Arabidopsis thaliana: one gene and its partners. The protein of the gene in region 1 interacts with the protein of each later gene in a biochemical or structural test. Each region holds a gene or a part of one and is shown on either strand. Other genes may lie near its edges. The genes, in order: RCD1, AS1, NAC046 and BBX8.

What was found.
Region 2: the proteins of RCD1 (region 1) and AS1 form a complex in vitro, tested with the Arabidopsis thaliana proteins (one study listed by BioGRID).
Region 3: the proteins of RCD1 (region 1) and NAC046 form a complex in vitro, tested with the Arabidopsis thaliana proteins (one study listed by BioGRID).
Region 4: the proteins of RCD1 (region 1) and BBX8 form a complex in vitro, tested with the Arabidopsis thaliana proteins (one study listed by BioGRID).

What each region holds. Positions count from the first base shown.
Region 1 is NC_003070.9:11,610,222-11,617,152, reverse strand, and holds RCD1 (WWE protein-protein interaction domain protein family), read right to left. Parts: upstream 5,036-6,931; 5' UTR 4,785-5,035; intron 4,416-4,784; 5' UTR 4,293-4,415; exon of another isoform or gene 3,841-4,292; 5' UTR 3,727-3,840; coding exon 2,603-3,726; intron 2,495-2,602; coding exon 2,247-2,494; intron 1,922-2,246; coding exon 1,842-1,921; intron 1,752-1,841; coding exon 1,593-1,751; intron 1,510-1,592; coding exon 1,414-1,509; coding exon of another isoform or gene 1,405-1,413; exon of another isoform or gene 1,322-1,404; coding exon 1,259-1,321; 3' UTR 935-1,258; downstream 1-934. Other genes in the region: AT1G32225 (uncharacterized protein), read right to left, coding at 6,864-6,931. UniProt on the Arabidopsis thaliana protein: Inactive ADP-ribosyltransferase that functions with SRO1 to regulate oxidative stress, hormonal and developmental responses. Required for embryogenesis, vegetative and reproductive development, and abiotic stress responses.
Region 2 is NC_003071.7:15,780,546-15,785,781, reverse strand, and holds AS1 (myb-like HTH transcriptional regulator family protein), read left to right. Parts: upstream 1-2,301; 5' UTR 2,302-2,501; intron 2,502-2,830; 5' UTR 2,831-2,880; coding exon 2,881-3,984; 3' UTR 3,985-4,540; downstream 4,541-5,236. Other genes in the region: ACT1 (actin 1), read right to left, coding at 4,541-4,606, 4,718-5,236.
Region 3 is NC_003074.8:1,052,462-1,056,861, reverse strand, and holds NAC046 (NAC domain containing protein 46), read left to right. Parts: upstream 1-1,665; 5' UTR 1,666-1,909; coding exon 1,910-2,108; intron 2,109-2,192; coding exon 2,193-2,473; intron 2,474-2,700; coding exon 2,701-3,237; 3' UTR 3,238-3,502; downstream 3,503-4,400. UniProt on the Arabidopsis thaliana protein: Transcriptional activator that acts as a positive regulator of leaf senescence. Activates NYC1, SGR1, SGR2 and PAO, which are genes involved in chlorophyll catabolic processes. Activates senescence-associated genes, such as RNS1, SAG12 and SAG13.
Region 4 is NC_003076.8:19,560,784-19,566,075, forward strand, and holds BBX8 (B-box type zinc finger protein with CCT domain-containing protein), read right to left. Parts: upstream 3,050-5,292; 5' UTR 2,806-3,049; intron 2,379-2,805; 5' UTR 2,331-2,378; coding exon 1,809-2,330; intron 1,722-1,808; coding exon 1,554-1,721; intron 1,452-1,553; coding exon 1,150-1,451; intron 1,066-1,149; coding exon 936-1,065; 3' UTR 536-935; downstream 1-535. Other genes in the region: AT5G48240 (Rrp15p protein), read left to right, coding at 1-44, 120-215, 311-370; AT5G48270 (DUF868 family protein (DUF868)), read right to left, coding at 3,961-4,929.

The DNA of each region.
Region 1 (6,931 bases):
TGAACTGCGATCATGGATCTCATGGCTAGCTAGAAGATTTCTTTGTTCAGGAAGTGTGTGAAAAGATGAATCTTGGACAGTCTTCTCGAAGGAGAAGCTGAGTCTTGGTTCTATAGAAGACAAAAGATGTTTCTATTCCGATCTTGGAACATTTGAAGGATCGTTTGTTGTTGATAGGAACTTCCTGTCTACCGGCTTTGCCATTGTGGATTATGTCGAAAACACGAGTATATACCGGCTCTCCATGGAGTCTCTGATTCCCAATCACGCCATAAATCATTGAGGATTGCTTGGGTCACTAGCTTACAGAGCGTCGAGGCTAGACAATGTACATATAAGCTCATTAAAGGTAGATGAGAGCCCCGAATCTTGTAAAGGTAGTGAGCTGTCATAGTTGTAGTACGAAGTCCAAGTGAAAGATACATGGCTCCAATCCTCTGTAATATGCAAGAGTTAGGCTCATCATCAATTCCTCGGTTTTAAATTCGTTTAAAGCTAAAATGCCGACTCACAACACAAACAAAAAGGAATAAAATAATGCTTCAGATTATAACCATGAAAAGAAAACAGCCAGAACCATTGTACTTTTGGGTGAACCACTCGGATCAGATTCCAAATCGCTGTTATAGAGAAAGAGATCCCAAACTGACCGTTTACTCTACTCCACAGAGACTCCATAAAATCGAACTGATTGGACCTAGAATATCGAGATATCCACTAGCTTCTCATCGTCAGAGGCCAAGCTTACTCAGTGCGCATCATATAGAGCTCTAAAGGGGAGGAGAGGACCAACACTATTTTCTCCTGGTATTCCTCTAGTCTTGATTTACCCGTAGTACACAAGTGTCAAAGGAACCCAGAGGTGACCAGTTATCATACTCTTAAATAATCCTTCACACAAATGTGAGGCATCTAATAAAGCTAACAGAATAATGAGAAAAAGTATAGTGAAGAAAAGTTTCACGCGATAGGCTTAACGACCAAATTTTCGTCAAGATTCAACGACTTCCACAACAATGTTTTGCTTGCAGCTAAAGAAACAAAGACCCAACGACATCATTGACTAAGTAGAATCATATAATATAGTACGATTTTTCACGACAGAAAGAAAAGTCGACACATTTTAAACTCTACCAACGACCCGACCCAAAACCAAAAGTCTAAAATTAGAAAAAGTCAAAAGGAGAACCACAAAGGCAGGTAGATAGATAAAAAGCAGCTTCCTTTTGATATTCGTCATCATCATCATCCACTTTACTTACAATCCACCTGCACCTTCTTCATGGTCTCTGATGCTTCCTGGAATCTCCTTCGACTTTGGCTGAAGTTAAAACCAAAAAACCTTTGTTGAGCATTTCCGTTTACAAAGTAAACTTATGATCAACAACAATATCTCTACTACTACTATCTTACCTGGTTTTGAAGGGTTGTTATGGTGGACCTTAGCAGATCATCTCCTACAATCACCCGCAGTTTCCTGACAAACTCCGCTCTCGTCATCTTCTTATCCTGCACAACAAATTTCTTATGTATTCCAGCTTATGCAATTACCAATCATAAAGCAAACTCTCAGAATCAGTTTTTTTCTATACCCTCAGTTGTTGGTAGTCAGCATTGATCAACAACATGTCGTTCTCTGCAACCTTATGTGAGATTGCTGCAAACAGAGTAGGAAATGGCATCCATGGAGATTTGGGTCTTGTAGTGCTTGAACCAACACTGTTTGCACTTCCTGAACCTCTTGCTCCCTGCTTTTTAAACACAACAACACCACATATAGTTGTTCAGTCCCTCTTCTTTAATAAGATCATACAAAGAAAAACTGAAGTAACCAAACTCACGTTTGACTCCAATTGAGGAGGAAGATCCTTAGGTCCTTCCAAAGTGACCCCTGAGTTATCACGCTTAGCAATCAAATTACCTGCAGAAACCAGTGTATGTCATCGGACTTCTAATACTACACAAAACATAATTTTGATGGATCGAAATACCCATTAAGGCGTGAGTATCACATCCGACCCCCGGATGATGAATCAGAGACTTGTCTCTTGAAACCCAAATGTGTTATAACACCGGAGGTCGTTAGGTTTATCATTATCACACATGGAACTTTTTTTTCTAAATTTATCAGTTGAGACCTGAGCTTCAGCCAGATCTCTAAGCTGTCTCCCTTTCAATGCGTCATCAGTTGATTTGAATGGGGGAAGATAGAATGTGAGGAACAAAAAAAAGAACAAACTAATCACCTTCAGCATTGGGGAGATTAGACAGCTTGAACCTAACAACAAATTCCGGGAATATATGTGTGTTCATATTGATGTTCCAGACAATGTAATTCTTTGGACTCTCAATGTCATCGACTCCATTGTCATATTCTTCTCCACCAGAAAAGAACTGAGCTTTATCACCACGAAGAAGCTCCATATTCCCCATAATCACACGGCATAAAACCATGTAACGTACTCCGTTTTCGTCAACATCACAGTATCTAGCACTGTAAACAAGTTCATAGTTAGTACTTGACACACAAAGAACCTATTGCAGAGGAAGGTAAAATATACGATCTAAACATGAAAAAAACAGATGAATACGAGGCAAATACCTGAAATAAGGGCAGTCTGCAGCGGTTAAATGGATCCCAACACCATAGATGGACTTTCTGATAAATGCTCCACCAACTCCAAGTCCTTGCATCATCACTGCTGATAAAACTTCCCTCTTTGCAGGAAGCCAGGCATACCTAACGTTTGCATCCCCTCGATGTTTCTTAGTGATCTCAACCTGCTTCTGGAAAAGTGCTAGACGAGCTTCAGCAATCTCACTGGAAAAACGGCCCACATCCAGCACTGGTACATGTCCTAGAGAAGCTGTGCCTACAGCAAACATTTTTTTTACTGCATCTTTATCAAGTACTTCGCTTCCCGTAAGCTTGGCACCAGAGACGACTATAGCATCAGTCTCATCCCATTTCGAAACAGCAGCTTCGAGCTTGCGGCTGCAGCTATCCTCCGTAGCCTCGTCATAGTGCTCATTTGAAGATCGTTGAGCAAGGGGAACATCGTCCATCATATTATCACCAGACTCATCACTGCACTCCTCCAAATTTAACCTCGGTGTCTCGCCACCATTAACATCAATCTCTAGGCGAAGTTTGATATCATGAGGAGCATTCTGTTTTGGGTCTTCCACACATTTATGATGGCAGTAATTGGTCCTTTCATCACTCTCATAAATTTCAGGGAAAAAGCACTTTCCTGCATTGTCAATCCATGCAAGAGGGGTTTTTGCTCCTGTTTCCATGTCTAGTCTTTGCATGTGCAAGAAGTCCAAAATAAAACTGTGACCGCATAACTTGAACTCAATTGCGGCGCTCTTTTCTTCTAATTCATTCTGGATGGCGCATATAACGTGCTCAGGCAAATCATTCCATTCGCCATTCTCATACATCATAACACGTTTAGCGATTCCAGTCTTCTTAAAATAAGTGTAATATCTGACCAGCGCCTTCCCAGAGCGATTCTCGTAAGCGCTAAGCTTGTTTTCACCTTCCAGCCTTCTTCTTTTGTCAGGAATTTGGCACTGCCCGTTCGGTGGGGGCACATTTTGCAGCTTTGCACACGAAACTCCAGTAACATATGCAGCATAGCTTGCTGCGCGCTTCCTCTTTTTTCCGAATCCATCTTCACACCTACTACTATCCAACACCTTGACGATCTTGGCTTCCATTTCTATATATTAACAATACTAAACCTATAACCTTGATAGAAAAAGTCAACTGTGTAACCTCTAAACTCCCTAGCAGTCCTAAAGATAGTGTCTTGCCGACAGCATTAGAAAACACTGCACAAAAGAAATGGAAAAGGCTTAAAATATTGAACAACTATATTACAGAGAATAGAGTCAAACAAAAACTCCTCACAGTTTACATGATAAAGAATCAGTAAACAAGAAAGAATCAGCATAACTATATGAGACCTATGATCCTGTAATATCATTCCTTCACAAAAGACATTTGCTACAATTTCCATCAGTAAGTAACATTATGAACAGTCTTTCATTACTTCTTGTTGTATCTTGTGTTATAAAGAGCACAAAGATCCATTACAAAGACGGAAGGTACAAATCAACCTACATAGGAATGAAGCAATAAGAAATGAACATCACACTCAACAAGAACGATCCTATGAGACACTAAAGATAAACACAGAAACAAACCAACAAAAACAAGTAAACCCAATCACCAACACAGAAAAATGAGAACAATAAACCCAAGCCATGAGCTTGAAACTCACCCAACAGTAACAGTTAGAGTCTGATAGATTACAAGTGTGTTCATCTTCTCCGTCATAAAAATAAACACAATCAGAGAAGAAATGCCACGTCTTTTTATAACAGCCGTCAGCAAGATAAAGTTCCTGCAACATCCAAACCAGCAACTTTTTAGCTTTCAATAAAAATTAAAATTCATCTCTCAAGTCAAAATAGCTCTGTTGCTTCACAAAATCCACAAATCGAACCAAATCAATCGCAGTTTCACTGATTTTCAAAATAAACTAAAATCAGAGACGAAAAAACACAGATCGTAAGCATAATCACACGAATCATCCAAAAACTCAATCAAAACAACACAAAACCACTCAAAATCAAACGAATCTAAGCCGATCTACAATCATCGACTTCAACAAAAAAAAACAATTCAAGATAAAAAAAAAAATCCTCAAATCGCATGAGAAGAATTGAAACAAAACGAAAAGAAACTGAACATGAACATGAACATGACGGACCTCTTTTTTCAGATCGATCGCAGGCAACAAGGGTAATCTAAAAGCAAAAGCTGACCAGAAAAAACGGAGGAAAAGGAGAAGATAAGATTTGCTTATAGAGAAAACCCTAAGCCGGCGATGACGACGAAGAAGAAACAGAATCGAAGAGTCATTTATATATAATCGGCGATATTGGAGAGATGATGAAGAAGAAATTCTTAAGTCGGCGGTTCCTGAGTTTTTTTCCTCTTTCTCTAACCAAAAATTTGCTTGGACGAAAAGCAAATCATGTGGGCTTTATTAAAGCTACAAGTCGGTCAGTCAACGTCGAAATCTTATTGGGTGGTGACTTAATTGAAGAGGCGGTCAATACACGCAGATAGATATGGTCGAATACAATAATGGAATAATATTATCATGAGGAGAACAAAAATATTACAATTAAATGTAACGAGGGCAACAATTATAAAATTGTTGAAATTAGAAAAGTGTGTATTGACGGAACATGATTGATAAGATTGTGAATCGATGAATAGACTAGGGGGGCCATTGGAATGGAGATAGCTATCGACATTGAAAAATATTTTCTTTATTGCGTACAAGGTCTAACAAAGTTTTAGTTGTATTGCAAGTGGCAAATAAAATTTTATTAGTTGAGGATAGTTTAGAAGTTTTTGAAAATATTATTTTACAAAGTTATAAGAATATTTAATCAATTTTTAAAAACTTTCTCCAGAAAAATGTTTGTTAACAAAAAATAATTTTCATTATTTCGATAGCCGTTATTTAAATTTGCCGCGATTATTTTTAATGGTTTTTATTTTTTCTGTTTCATTGCCGCGTTTATTTGTAATGATTTTTATTTTTCCGTTTTTCTATAAACAATACTACAATAGCATAAATTTTGAAGTGATATATGGTTTATAAGGGTAAGAATATTTAATCATTTTCAATACAGATAACTTTCAAAATTAGACATACTAAATGAGATATAAAAAATTCCATTGATATACTTCCAATAATTATCACATTTCTAAACTAGCAAAATTTATTTTATTTTAAAACATAGAAGATACGCATAATAGTCAATGAACTATTGACTTGGAAAAGATATCACCTTGGATATTAAGTCTGGACTTTTTGCGTAGTTTTCTTATAAAAAAACTATCAAAATTAAATTTCTACAATTATTCATTGAAAACACAATCTTTGGAAAAGGCTATAATTTGAAAACAATATTTGGAATTGGCTAATTTGAGGATGGATAAATAACATTTCGATTGGCTTAAGAAAGAACACTAGATCGATATCTCTTGGAGAGAGTTAGAACTCTTTTGATGTCTAGACGGATGAAGAATACTTAGTTGATAAATTGTACCTCGCAATTTTTTTCAACTTTGTTTTATAATGGGCCAGTTTTTATTTTTTGGGCTTTAGACAGCATATTAAGATGGACCGGCCGTGACTACGGGTTTAGTTGGTACCGAAAACGGCTGTCTTCCCAATCTTGTAAGATCTATAAAATTCAAGACTAAACTTTTATCATATACACGTTTGTACTATTCGGTGGAAAACCAAAGGATCTATATATACATGCATTCATGGGAATATTATTCTGTGTATGATATGTCACAGCTATATAGTTTGTGTAGCCATGGCTCATATTGAATAATGAAAATGTCACAACTATATAGTTTGTGTAGCCATGGCTCATATTGAATAATGAATATGTCACAACTATATAGTTTTTATATCTCTTATTTTTCTAGAATTTACCAACCTACGATTAGGCCTGTTACGGATCCGGATATCCGGGTTTTTTGGAGTATCCGGATCCGTATCCGTATCCGGCGGATATGTAGTTTTAGGATCCGCATCCGGATCCGTAAACCTCGGATATCCGGATTTCGAATATCCGTGAAAAAACTGGATATCCGCGGATATTCGGGATCCGTTTATTTTTGGGAACAAATTCAATTTCCTATTTCACCAACCAGATTGAATTCACCACCAAAAGAGATCGACGTGTGCCCGACATCAGACTTTGCAAGGCACATACCACCAAGATCTCGTCTTTAACGGTGTCCAATCTGCTCCTCCTCATTCATCTCCGCCGTCGACACTTTGAATCCCATGTATCATCATTCCCGTAAGTAAACTTCCGTCCA
Region 2 (5,236 bases), on another chromosome or scaffold:
TGTCTTTGCTCTGTTTCACATTCCCTTCTATATATACAGTATAGTATATTTTATCCTTCTTTTATTGTTTTGCTTACTAAAAGTTTTTTTCCTCCGGAATCAAAATTCTAAAATGTATATCATGTTAGGTCGCGAGGGCCATGCAATATTATGAACTATGCATGATGATTAATGTCTGTGGATCCATCACAAATATTATTGAAGGTTGATCAGAGACTATGGACCAAAATGGTCCGAATCGCCTGATAATAAAAAACTATTCATTTTTATTTTTTATTTTTTTTATTAAACATGTGATTAATGATAGATCTTACGATTCGCAACTGGGAAACATGCACTAACTCAAACTTAAAACACACAATACTAAAAGTTCTATTAAATTTTGAATGTAAAGAGAAATATATTAGGCAATCAAACGGTCAAGTAAATCATACACATCGATAATTTATTTTTTTATCCTTCAAAGCAGGCCCATCCAAGGCCCACCACTATTCTCATATCAACATACTTTTCTTGTTTTGGTTAAATCAACCTACCATGTTGGCTGTTCTCTCCGCTCCTCTGTGTAAGATCACACCAACACCACTGCATAATTTCTTGTATTATTTTGAGACTTGAGAGTAAACTGATTGACAAAAAAAAAAAAAAAAAAAAAAAATTGAGAGTAAACTAGTTTCTTGAATATTGATTTTTTCAGCTTAATTTGTTGGGGAAAGATATTACTACTATTGCTGTAAAAAAAAAAAAAAAAAAAAAAGATATTATTACTATATTTGTAGTGATTTTATTTTGAAAATTCTCTTCACTTTTTTGTAGTTAACATTCTAATTTTGTGAAAAGAACTTTTAATGTCAGGTCATGTCTCTTAAAAAGTTTGCATGATGAAATGATTTACAAATTACAATAGAAAATGGAAACCATTGCAAACTAAATTTTTATCAAAAAAAATCGAAAATAAAATGTATTGACTTAGTAATGCTGTGTCTGCTACGATTAACTATTACACATAATGCAACACTGAATTATCCAAATACATTATTAGAATAATAGTATTACAGTATCACTATTACAACAACAATGTCAACAATAATCTTATTATAATAATATATAAATAGACCTTAGTGACATCATATTATATAGAAAACATGTGGTTGCCTAATTTGTATAAGCTAGATACTTGGGGGTGATGAGTGACTAGTTGATGCAATGATAAAAGAGTGAAAGTTTTGTCTGCCTGATTATAGACGTCGGAGAAATACTAAAATACGCTATGAAGATTTTGGCGCATGGTAGCAGAAAAAAAAAACGGAGGGTGTGAGTGAGTAGTGGTAGTCGGATGTGATGGAACAAAGAAAAGTATTTTTGGTAGGGTTATGGGAGAGAGAAGGGGACCATTATTACACACTTACATGCTTTCCCCAAAAGATACCATTCCCATTTTCTGACACGTGTCCCCCTCATCCCCAATTACTCATACGTCAAATCCAATTTTTAGCCTAAAAGTTTTTTTTATTTGTTTAGCCAAATCTATTTTACTAATTAAAGTTTTCAAATGGCAAATAGAAAGATCTTCTAAGGTTTTATAAAATTACTTGATTATTTCTAGTTTTGCTCATTTTTTAAATAAAATTTCTCTTTTTTTTCTTGCAACATTATTGATTTTTTTTTTGATAGGGAGTAACATTAGTGATGTTCTATCTCTTCTCATTGCAAAAACTTTATTTTCTCATCTCTATTTGATCATCATTGCGAAATCTTCCATTTTCAACAAATACTTTTCCATGTTAATATGCTGTTTCAAAATATAAGTGTTTGGAAAATAAATCAACAAGTTTAAATGTTAACTATTTTTATGCTATTATAATTATTTTTCTTATGGGTAAGTGGAAATTAATGTTACTCAAATTGGACATAAAATTCTATTGTTTGAGTGAAGGAGTTTATAAATGGAGCATTATTTTCTTGAATGGTTAGTTTTTCTTCTATCATTTTGACAAGTAAATGACTTTTCAGCCACTAAAGTACAACACTTTTTCATTTAAATTTAAAGCATCCCCTACATTAGATTGTCATTTTATTTCTCATAATGTTATAGAAAAATGAATTTTGAGATCCCAATGTAGTAAATATATATAAAAAAAGGTTTAATATTGTCAATGACAAACAACGAACTTATGGAATTTCAACTTTTCACCTCCACGCGCCTCTGTCAGAGTTTTTTTTTTCCCCACTTGTGATGTAAAAAGGGGAAAACGTCTGTGTCTCAGTCGGTAAACTTTTTCTCTCTTTTTTTTTTTAAAGATTTTATTTTAATTATGCCGTCTCTGTGGTCTAATCGTGTACGTCGTCTGGTTTTAAAAGCCTCTCTCACTTTGGTCTTTTCGTTTTCTCTCTTCCATTTTCTCCAACTATATAAAAAAAAAAAAGTGAGAGAGAGAGCAAATCTGTGTGATGGAAGTTGCTCTTGAGTTTGGGATTATTTATCTTTTCAATATCATTTGGTAAGCATTTTTATTTTGTTTTATAGTAATAATTTTAACTCTCTTATCTTCTTAATAAGTCTTTGCTTAATAGTGTTTTGGGGTCAGCATTAATTTCCCCTGTTTGGTTTCCAGAATATAGGTTGTATAGTGTGATAATAACAAATTATTCCAAGTTTTGCTTCAAACATTGTCAAAGTTTTTGTCATTTTCATTTCTTGAAACGGAAATTTTTCAGACTTTGTAATTTCTAATTCGAAAATTCGACAGATCTTGTAGATTTGTTTCGATCTTTTAGAGTTTTGAATTGGAGAGATTTATGAAACGGGTTGATTTTGAATTTGGTACAGATGAAGAAGGATGGTGAGATGGGAAGAAGTGATGTCAGGAGGAGTAGGAGATGAAAGAGAGACAACGTTGGAGTGGTGAAGAAGATGCATTGTTACGTGCTTACGTTAGACAGTTCGGTCCGAGAGAATGGCATCTTGTGTCTGAGCGTATGAACAAACCTTTGAACCGTGACGCCAAGTCTTGTTTAGAGAGATGGAAGAATTATCTTAAGCCAGGGATCAAGAAAGGGTCTTTGACAGAGGAAGAGCAGAGGCTTGTGATCCGTCTTCAGGAGAAACACGGCAACAAGTGGAAGAAGATTGCTGCTGAGGTTCCCGGGAGGACGGCAAAGCGGTTAGGGAAGTGGTGGGAAGTGTTTAAGGAGAAGCAACAGAGAGAAGAGAAAGAGAGTAACAAGAGAGTTGAGCCTATTGACGAGAGTAAGTACGATCGGATTCTCGAGAGTTTCGCTGAGAAGCTTGTCAAAGAGCGGTCTAACGTTGTCCCTGCTGCTGCCGCTGCTGCAACGGTTGTGATGGCTAATTCGAATGGAGGGTTTTTACATTCTGAACAACAAGTTCAGCCTCCTAACCCAGTGATCCCGCCTTGGTTAGCTACTTCTAACAATGGGAACAATGTTGTTGCAAGGCCTCCCTCGGTAACTTTGACATTATCGCCTTCCACAGTGGCTGCAGCTGCGCCTCAACCGCCAATCCCGTGGCTGCAGCAGCAACAGCCTGAGAGAGCAGAGAACGGTCCAGGGGGACTTGTGTTAGGGAGTATGATGCCGTCTTGTAGTGGGAGTAGCGAGAGTGTGTTCTTGTCAGAGCTTGTGGAGTGTTGTAGAGAGTTGGAGGAAGGGCACCGAGCTTGGGCAGACCATAAGAAAGAGGCTGCATGGAGGCTAAGAAGGCTGGAGCTGCAGCTAGAGTCAGAGAAGACGTGTAGACAAAGGGAGAAGATGGAGGAGATTGAGGCAAAGATGAAAGCTCTTAGGGAAGAGCAGAAGAACGCAATGGAGAAGATCGAAGGAGAGTACAGAGAACAGCTCGTTGGTTTGAGGCGAGACGCAGAGGCCAAAGACCAGAAACTGGCTGATCAATGGACCTCTAGGCATATCAGACTCACCAAGTTTCTTGAACAACAAATGGGTTGCAGATTAGACCGCCCCTGAACCGTCTCCTAAACTCTTTGTTGTAACTTGTAATGTAATGTAAGGTTTTTTTTTTGTTTTTTTTTGTTTTTTTTTGTCTTTGATCATTTGGGTGTCTCCAATGTTTACTTAGACTTTTGGGTTCCTTACCTCAGCTTTGTATTTGTTTCTTTTACCTTTGTGTTCCATTTATCACTTCAGTTTATCCATGGCTTTGTTTTCTCAAGCTTGATGTTGATTTAGTCAGCTGCAACACTTTGGTTTATAAATAAAATCGATTTATATCTTTACATGTGTAAATTCAAGTAGAAGACAGAAAACAAATTGTTACATAATAATTGAAAAATTGAAGAGGAAGAGGTGTGTACTTATTCACTCAAAAACACAGTTGCATTAGATTTTAAACCATACTACAAACAGATTACCATAAATCCATGAAAATGTATTTGGCATGAATTTCAAAACATAAGAGAACAAAAACAAAGAGCAGAATAACGGAAGATTAAAAACCCGGCTTGAGAAATGGTCGGAAAAACCCTGGCGGTGCTTCTTCTCTGAAAAATGATCAACTTTGAACTCAGAAGCACTTCCTGTGAACAATCGATGGACCTGACTCGTCATACTCTGCCTTTGCGATCCACATCTGCACAAGGTAACACATAGTTTCAGAATTGAACCAGTTTAGTTAAGCTGAGAGTGATTAGGATTTAGTTTAGGTCTGTTTAGAGTAAACAAGTGATGGGACTGTGTGTACCTGCTGGAAGGTACTGAGGGAGGCCAAGATGGACCCTCCAATCCAGACAGAGTATTTCCTCTCTGGAGGGGCAACGACTTTGATCTTCATGCTGCTTGGAGCCAAAGCAGTGATCTCTTTGCTCATTCTGTCGGCGATTCCAGGGAACATTGTGGTTCCACCACTGAGCACAATGTTACCGTACAAGTCCTTCCTGATGTCGACATCACACTTCATTATGGAGTTATAGGTGGTTTCATGGATACCAGCATTCTCCATACCAATCATAGATGGCTGGTAAAGAACCTCAGGACAACGGAATCGCTCTGATCCAATGGTGATCACTTGCCCATCAGGTAGCTCGTAGTTCTTCTCAACAGATGAGCTGGTTTTGGCTGTCTCGAGTTCCTGCTCGTAGTCAAGAGCAATGTAGCAAAGCTTCTCCTTTATGTCTCTGACAATTTCACGCTCTGCTGTGGTGGTGAAAGAGTAACCACGCTCGGTTAGGATCTTCATCAGCGCATCCGTGAGGTCACGACC
Region 3 (4,400 bases), on another chromosome or scaffold:
ATGAGCCAATGACTCGAAAGTCAGATAATTTATGAATTGTAGAAATTGTTGATAATAGGACTAAATTTTTAAAAATCTACAGCGGCAGTTTATAATTGACAATCATGTTTTTCATTTGAAATATGGACAGTCATCTGAGAATATTTTTGTGTTCAATCAGCACAAATATACAAATTTTAATCTATAATTTCAAAAATTAAATTAGGACGCTTTGATTTGGTATTTTTTCCTAGTTAATCTTTGCAGGCGGTGGTTTCTTTGACCTTTTTATTAAACACATGATTATGCCGACATTAATAAAAAAAAGAGAGAATATGTTCTTATTACGGTGAATTTACTCATTGAAACTATGACTTCAAAAATATAATATTATAATAAGTTATAGTATATATGTTCTTATTACTTATGGTATATATAAAAGTTAACATTGATATTTAACTCTGTTTAAATATAAGTATAATTTGATCATTGTGTTTTGACATAATATTTTTCTCCATTGATATGAATTCTAAAATAATAAACATATATTTATTTATATACCAATAATAAAATTGAAGATTACGTCACACTACCACCAATTGGTTGATAATTTACACTATTTTATTCCTTCAGCTTAACTGGTAAGGTTAAGAAACACACCACAAATGGTTGCTAAACTCTTAGGGTCGTTTGATAAATGTCTAATCAAGCTACAAAGTACGATCACATATATAATTTAGATTATATATATTATCCATTAAACCACATCCAAATAAATATCCGAACTGAGAACTCATTGAACCACACCCATAGGCATAGCTATATGTACTGCATATCAATTTTATGTGATCGATTTTATCATTTACTCTCGTATATAAACCTTCATAGAAACTTAAAATTTCAAGTTTAACAAAATGAACATTAACATACAAATTCTTTTGAGGTTTTCATTAGGGATTCCTTTCAGTAGGATAATAAAATTAAATAGTAATAAAATTTTAAAAGGGACATATTTTCAACAATATGGGTCCACATAACACGAAGAGGAGCCAAACCTTTTAACACTTTTGAGTGGTATATTTTCCTTCAAACGTTTTTTCTGCCATACGACTCTTTATTTTCTTTCCAAAAGAGGTTATTTTCAAAAGGTAGATGAAGGTCATGTGGCTATCGAACCCATTTTTTTCTGGTGGTTGGCTAAGGAACCCCATAAGATGACTATACTGACATAGTCCTATGTAATGTACAAGGAAAAAATAAACTAACCCTCATATGGAACATAAAATTATTCGACAGACGTGTCACCCTATGGATCTAAAATTTAATGGTAGGATCTAAAATCTAAAATATGAAAATTTGTGGAAAATTCCATAACCATCCCAATAAATTAATTGTTACATATAGCAATATTTTATTAATTAAAATACAGTTTTTATTTGACACTAAGAAGAAAAATAATATTTAGCTTATCTTGAATTATATATATAAATTGCTTATTACCCTGAATTTCATACAGATATGAGATATCATTTAAGATATTTTTGAGTGTTTTCTAATTGTGGGGCTTTTTCAACAAGTAAGGAAGTTGCTTAGAGCTTACGTGTCTCTTCTACATCACCAAAAAAATAAGAAAAAAACAAAACATAAAGAAAAGAAACATTATTGTTTTTTTTAGCTCTTATCTTCCTCTATATAAAGACATTTTTTTTCTACCTTCACATACTTTTATTTTCATTTCCTTTAACTGCATAGTTCTTCCTCAAATTGCTCATACCTTTGCTTCTCTTTCTTTCTTTATTCAACCTCTTATTTCTTCTTCAGCACCAACGTGTATCTGCAGTAAACACATATCCATCGATCGATCTCCTCAAAAAGTTATTGTTTTCTTGAAGGATTTTTCTTGTTCTTGATCAAGCATACATATATATAGATGGTGGAAGAAGGCGGCGTAGTTGTGAATCAAGGAGGAGATCAGGAGGTGGTGGATTTGCCTCCGGGGTTTCGGTTTCACCCTACTGATGAAGAGATAATAACTCACTACCTCAAAGAGAAGGTCTTCAACATCCGATTTACCGCGGCAGCGATTGGTCAAGCCGACCTCAACAAGAACGAGCCATGGGATCTACCAAGTAAGTCAAGTCAAGATCGTTTTTTATTTTGACCATTTCAAACATCATCATCGATCAAGATTCTGATTCTTGATTTGAGTGCAGAGATTGCAAAGATGGGGGAGAAGGAGTTTTACTTTTTCTGCCAGAGGGATCGGAAGTATCCGACCGGGATGAGGACGAACCGTGCGACCGTGTCTGGTTATTGGAAGGCGACCGGGAAGGACAAGGAGATCTTTAGAGGCAAAGGTTGTCTTGTTGGGATGAAGAAAACACTTGTTTTCTATACAGGAAGAGCTCCTAAAGGTGAAAAGACCAATTGGGTTATGCATGAATATCGTCTTGATGGAAAATATTCTTATCATAACCTCCCCAAAACCGCAAGGGTATGTCAAAGTTTACCACTCTTTTTGCAAAAATATGATTCGGTTTAATAAAATAGATCCGAGTTTGATGCATACAAAATTTGTTTGTTGAGAAATGTTTATCTATAGTTCGTTTTTTTTATATATGCCTTAGTTCAAGAATAATCCAAAACATGAAACTTAATTAGGAACTTAATTAATTAGTAATCTAAATGCTAAATTTTTTTTTGTTTGTGTGATGGTTATAGGATGAATGGGTGGTGTGTAGGGTTTTTCACAAGAACGCTCCTAGTACTACAATCACTACTACAAAACAACTCTCAAGGATTGATTCTCTTGATAACATTGATCATCTCTTAGACTTCTCATCTCTCCCTCCTCTCATAGATCCGGGTTTCTTGGGTCAACCCGGCCCAAGCTTCTCCGGTGCCCGTCAACAACACGATCTCAAACCTGTTCTCCACCATCCTACAACCGCACCAGTCGACAACACTTACCTTCCTACCCAAGCTCTCAATTTCCCTTACCACTCGGTCCATAATTCCGGATCTGATTTCGGCTACGGGGCAGGTTCAGGCAATAATAACAAAGGTATGATCAAGTTGGAGCATTCTCTTGTGAGTGTGTCTCAAGAAACCGGTTTGAGTTCCGATGTGAACACAACCGCAACGCCAGAGATATCTTCTTATCCAATGATGATGAATCCGGCAATGATGGATGGTAGCAAGTCAGCGTGTGATGGTCTTGATGACTTGATCTTCTGGGAAGATTTATATACTAGCTAAATTTGGGAAAAGGTTATTTGTTAATTGTGATTGAAGAGTGGCATATTGATTACTCGTCTAGTGTTTTTAATCGTGTAATTAGTTCGTATATAATATACATGTACATAAGATCATTAGGTTTATTAGGCATTGGACTTTAGTTCGGTGATTGCTTACCTAGTTTTTAGCTTGAGAAAAAAGGCTGTCATTGGGGTTATGTTTCTTTGTGATTAACTTGTACATATATACATTTAAATTATTCGTATGGTTTATTTCGTTTAAATTAGTCTCTCATTAATCTTCTAATGAAATGCAATAACACATATATATGTATACTTAATGGTCACCGATTCTTGGTCAACATTAACAAGACAAGATAGTGATTAATTAGTGAATCTTTTGTCATTTATATATCAAACTCTTTTTCTAATGCCGGGGTCTTTTCTATGAGTTGGGAAATTCCGGTTCGAAACGCGAGACTCCTGCATGCTCATGCATAGTATGGTTCCTTTGTAAAATCTCAAGTAACGAGCAATAAGTTATACTATATCACTTCTCGAGCAATAACTATAAGTAATATGAAAATTTGGCATCTCAGTATCTTAGGTTATGTTGTTAACTTGTTATTAATTTGTACGATTACGTTTTTTTTGTTTTTTTCATTCAGTACATAAAATGGAAAATATTGACCTATATAATCTGAATAAAATGAACACAGCTCACGAAACATGTGATTTGTTCCCTGAATCTGAAGCCTTTTCATATGGCTAATAAATTAGTTTATTAAGACACAAATTAATTAAATAACTTAAATTTTTGAGAAAGATTCTAAGTAAGGGCAGTAATTAAAGATGGGTTTCTTGTAAAAACAAACTCCAGATCCCTAAGCCTTCTGTCTTAAGAAGCTTAGTTATTACACTCAATGACATTACGTTTTCTTACTTAATTTTTCAACAAACATTATAGTATAAGCTTAATTAGTTTTTAAGAATTCACACGGAATATTAGTACTATAAGCTTAATTATATATTAGTAAACTCAGTGATTGCAAGAATTAAAAAAACAATATGCTCACTATAATGTAGATGCAGCTAATGGACTCATGATTGCAGTTTAATTACTAGAAATGTCAAATCAAATAGTATATAATTTCAAGTATAATGTTGAATACCAAACTCGATTTT
Region 4 (5,292 bases), on another chromosome or scaffold:
TATTCTGTCTTGAGCTGGCTTCTATAGAGAAAGGATCACCTTCAGTAGCGAGAGCCGTTAGTTATAAGTCTAAAGTATTGTTGGTTAGTTAACTAGTGATATTCTGTTGGATGGTGCAGGCTCACAAATCTGAAGACGAAGCTCCTGTTTGGGCTCCTCTACGAGATAATTACATGTTAGCAAACCCAAAACTGAAGGACTGGGACAAGAAACAGGTATCTCTTCATTCTTATCCACAAATCTGGAATCACATAGCTTGCATACTGATTTATACTCTTTGATCTGAAACTTAAAATTGAATTGTCCGCAGGAAACAAGCGAGGGAGATGATTTTGCCGGTTTGTCAGGAGATGAAAGTTATGAAGACTGAAGAGTTTAAACTAGTAGTTAAACGAGCAAACTTTAATTTTGCCTTTGTATCATGCAAATTTTGTCTGATCAATATGAATGAATTCAGTTTTTTGATAGTGCAAAAGGATCCTGAAAGGTTGTGATTCTTGTGGTTACGCTTTTAGAAAATACACTTGTTAGTATCATTAACCAATACCGTAAATATAGAAGTGATGATACTCCAAACTTCTACATGGTTATTATTTATATGACGTAAAAAAAATATACATTCGTTGTTTTGCCTTGGCTACACAAATTATAATAGGACAAAATTTAAGGATCATGAACCTGAATCTGTAGAAGAGTTTCTAGTTTCACAGTCAAGTCATGATGCCAAATGACAGAAGAAGATAACAAACTTTATGCAAAAAATGAGGCAGAACTGCAGAAGCATGCGCCTTTCTAAGCAAGTATGACGCTTTTGAGGCGGAGAACTCGTGTTCCTTTTCAACCAATAATGGCTTCCAGATCCATCGCTGCCAATTAGTTGCATCTCTGTCTTATATCTCCACTTTGTGATCTTTCATTGTTTTGAGGTTTTATCCTCAGTAGCTTCTTGTTGGGCTCATCGGGTCGTAATCATAAGCTTCACCGGACTTGACAAACCGTCCTTTCACACGCCGTCTCACATCAGCCCTTTCTTTCCTAGAGACATACCTTACTCGCTTGTCAAACCTATTTATACAAAATATGTTAAATATTAGCTATAACAACTTTCAATGATGAATTAAATTCCTTTCTGTGTGCGTTTATACTTACTTGCGAGCCTTCTTCTTTTCCTTGTAACGCATAACAGCGTTATTACGTGTTGTTGCATGTGAGGAAGCAATAATGTCCTGTGCTGTTGGATGGCACCATGGTTGTGGCTCCCTTGAAAGCTGCTTCATCGATGACGCCCCACAATCTTGGAAATCTCCAGCATTACTTTCTCCAGTGATGCCAGAGAAGGAGATATTCGAATGTGCTGGCTTTGATGAATAGCAAATTATTGGCTCGGTTCTACAAGTCATGAACGAATCTGCAGATGCATTATTGCTTAATGCTGGCTGCTGCATTGAGCCCTGAATTGAGAAAACACACAAAAGAGCATAAGGATCACAGAAAAAAATCATCCTTAACTTTAGTGATACTAGTCTCAGATAGAAGAAGAAGGTTGACAAAACCTCATGAGCTTCATCTTTCTCGAAAAGACTTCCAATTCCACCGTGCTCGAAGAGATATCTTGATGAGTTGAAGGCTGAACCAAAGAGTTCTTCATAGTTCTCAAGAGCCAAGTCTACTTCATCTGAAATGAGATTTCCATTGAAGTCATCCTCACATACTCCAAGCTCCTACAACCAGTACAATAATAAGAAACATTTAGACGCTAGTTGCTTTCAAGATCTTACCACAATATGAAGAAAATCATGTTAAAATACCTTAGCCATTGATGAATTTTCTGGAACACTAGAGTGATCCATACCTTGTGCAGCCGAACTGGTTTCAGGCTGTTCTACATTAATTTTTTGGACACCAGATTTTTCTCCTGTGCCATCTTCATCTATAGTCATCAAACCCATTCCTTGCTCACAAGCGGATTCTTCAGCAGAAGAGATATTCAAATCCATACAGAAAGACCATATCGAGGATAATTCGGCACTCGAGGGACAACCAGAATAACAATTGATGGTTTGCCTTTTATGATGTGAAGTAGTAGTAGAATTCTTGCCGTCATGGCCTGACCAATCACAGTTTTGACATAGAGAAACCCTCTCATCACTACACCGGACAGAAGCTGGCTGTGCATTACACCTCTCACATACCAAAGTCCGCGAATGACGTTTCGATAGAGCATTAGCAGAATGAACATTACGGTCACACGAAAGACACAAACACGCTGCATCAGATCGACAATACACCATTGATCTTTGTTCACCACAGAAATCACACATATAACCCATCTTTCAACCAATCTCAACCGTCACACTGAAGAAAGCAAGCTCCTTTCACTAACAAAGAATCAAACCATTTTGGTTAGTCCCTTATATCATAATCTTAGAAGGAAAAAAACTTACCACAATACATTAAACAACTAACAAAAGCTTGAAACTTGGTATCGAAAGCAAGTCCAGAATTAGATAAAAGTCCAATCTTTTTAAACATCTCTTCCTCAAAGATTGTAACTTCCTATGGATGAGACTGTTCTAAATCAAAGACCAATCAAAAGAGACATCAGAGAAACCAATTAACATCGCAGAAAGACTTCAAATTTCAGATCAACATGTACCAATCAGAGAAGTGAGCTAAAAAATTATAGATTTCTTATTACAAATCCGAGAGAAGTGAAAGAAGATCCATTTCAAGATCAGTCAAAAAGGATTGAGAATCAAAGCAACCCTCACTAAAATAACAAGACAAGGGTTTTAAAGAGCTCACGTAGGAGAGATCGTCAAGTATCTTCTGAAGCAGAGACACCAAAAATGAATGACTTTTGAAACGAATAAGCGATGATTCCACAAATTTCTTCTTTAGCTGCGTGTGAAGAAGGGTAAAAGGAGAAACAGATGGATAGACAATGGGTGGGTTGTGTCTGCAAAGGGACATGTAGGCAGAGGCATGTGACATAAGCTGATAATTCTAGAAACATTGGGTAAAAAGTTCAAAAGAACCCATTTTCTAAGGACCCTAAAGATATTTTTATGAGTATGAAGTCACGCGCTCGCGTGTAGACAAAGAGCCGTACTCGCGATCTACAAGGCACAAGTGGAACTTTTCCGATTCTGGATTCTCAAAAGCGTCTTCTTTTAGATGCTTTAAGGCTTAAAAGCCCAATCACAACAATAGTCTTTGCTTTGACTTTACAAAAAACCAAAATATCTTAATTTGAGAGACGCACATGAATGAACAAAATATCTTGCCTAAAAAAGGAGATATTATTTTTGTAGGTGAAAAGAAAGAGAAAGATCAAATATAATATCTGGCAAATTGGAAACGTCTACACAAAAAAAGATATTTGTGTATCTGTAACACTGACACGCGCAGGTCGGTGTCCACTCTTACTTATATTATTCAATTTGACAAAATATTAGTACATTAATTTGAGTTGAAAACTTTTAATTTGAAACTATGTACACTAGATAGTCACAATGCTAGTGTCAAGTATTTCATTTTTTAAAGACTTTTCATTCTTTTTTTGCTTCATGTATTTTTTTTAAAAAGTCAAAACCTTAATAGGCTAATTTTTTAAAATAAAAAACAGCTTTAATTGATAACTAAATAAGCTAATTGTTTTTAATTGAATTTGTAAATAAATAGACTTATATATATAATGGCCTAGCTAAAGAAAACTAACTCATATCCATAAGAAACTTACCAAATTTTCTTATGGTTATTCGATTAACAAAAAGTATGGTTAAACTAATACAAACTTTTTGTTTGCAAATATCTGATTGTCCTAACTCTTGAGCAATCGTTTAGTTGGTATTTGGGACCAAACTAAGGTAGACTAAATTGTTAATTTCTAATTCTATTCCAACTTAATCACCAAAAGAGATTTAAATAAAAACACACACACTATGATATTAATAGTCTTCATTCAAGTTTCCAAGCATAAAGAAACAAACAAAAGTCATGCAATGGTCCAAAACCACTTGATGCTGAATTATAACGACTCAAAGGACTACTCCCTCCTCCGCTATCTCCTTCCTCCGCATCGCTAAAGCTCTCATCTACCATCGCTCCAACCGGAACAGGCTTAAACAAAAACAACCCTGAACTCGCTGCAGTCTCCGAACTTGCAAACAACCAATCATGAACATCATAGTAGACCATTACCGGTGTTCTATCCACCATCACCATTTGGTTTCCCCTAAATTTCCATTGTAGATTCTTCACGTTCACAACCACGATCCCATCAACGCTTATCCACATCTCTGGCTCCGCTGCTCCATTAGAGCTCTCCACCACCACTTCATGTTCCTTTCTTTGTTCGTCAAACCTTGCCCGAGTCGAAAACGTTTTCTTCCCAAATATGCTTTCTTTTTTAAAGTATATGAACCCTTCCACCAATGCCGGTCTTGACTTGGTCCGCTTATAAGCCTTTTGCTTTAAATCTCCCAACAATAAAACAACCTCTTCATCAGAAACTACTGCCACGTAATAGTCTGACACGGGTTCGGGGCTACCGTTTCCAGCCAATTTTGCTGATCGAAGATCCCAAAAGACCTCCACAAAGTTTCCCTCTACGTCGAATGACTTTGACCCTCTTTTGCTCCAAAACTGCCATGGCTTCACGAGATCAATCTTACAACAATAATTCATGTCATTGTCTAAACTCGACACCATTACGGTGAGGGAATGATTCATGAGATTCTTGGACCATAAAACGGTGACGTTTCGAAAGAACCCTGCCACATGAGCTTGGTAACCGCACGTCACGGTACTATGAGGTGAAGGCGATGCAGCCGACTTGAGTTGTGCCACGGTCTTTGGATTGTCCGTTATTTTTGCAGCAAATGCCGTAGGTTGGCTTCCGATAGACGGCATTCGAAATGACAACATCTTTATTACAAACCTCAATGGGTTCAAAGTTAAAAAAAAACTAATCAACTAAAAGAATGACAAACACTTTGTTCTTATTTTTTTGCATAAGAATTTTGCCAAAATGTTGATCTTCCTCTATTGTAAAAAATGGATTAGGCAAGATAGTTCAACTTTTCCTATATGTTTAGTAATAAACTGACAAAAGTTTGAGTTCGTTTGATTCAATGGGGAATTGGTTTTTTGAGTTTTGGCAAGAGAAAGAGAGAGAGAAAGAAAAACTGAGAGATTATTTGATGGAACACCGATAAAGAAGGAATCTATATTTGACATCTTAATTAATAGTGGCAAAATCGATAAAAATGGCTTTATGCAGTTCAAAAT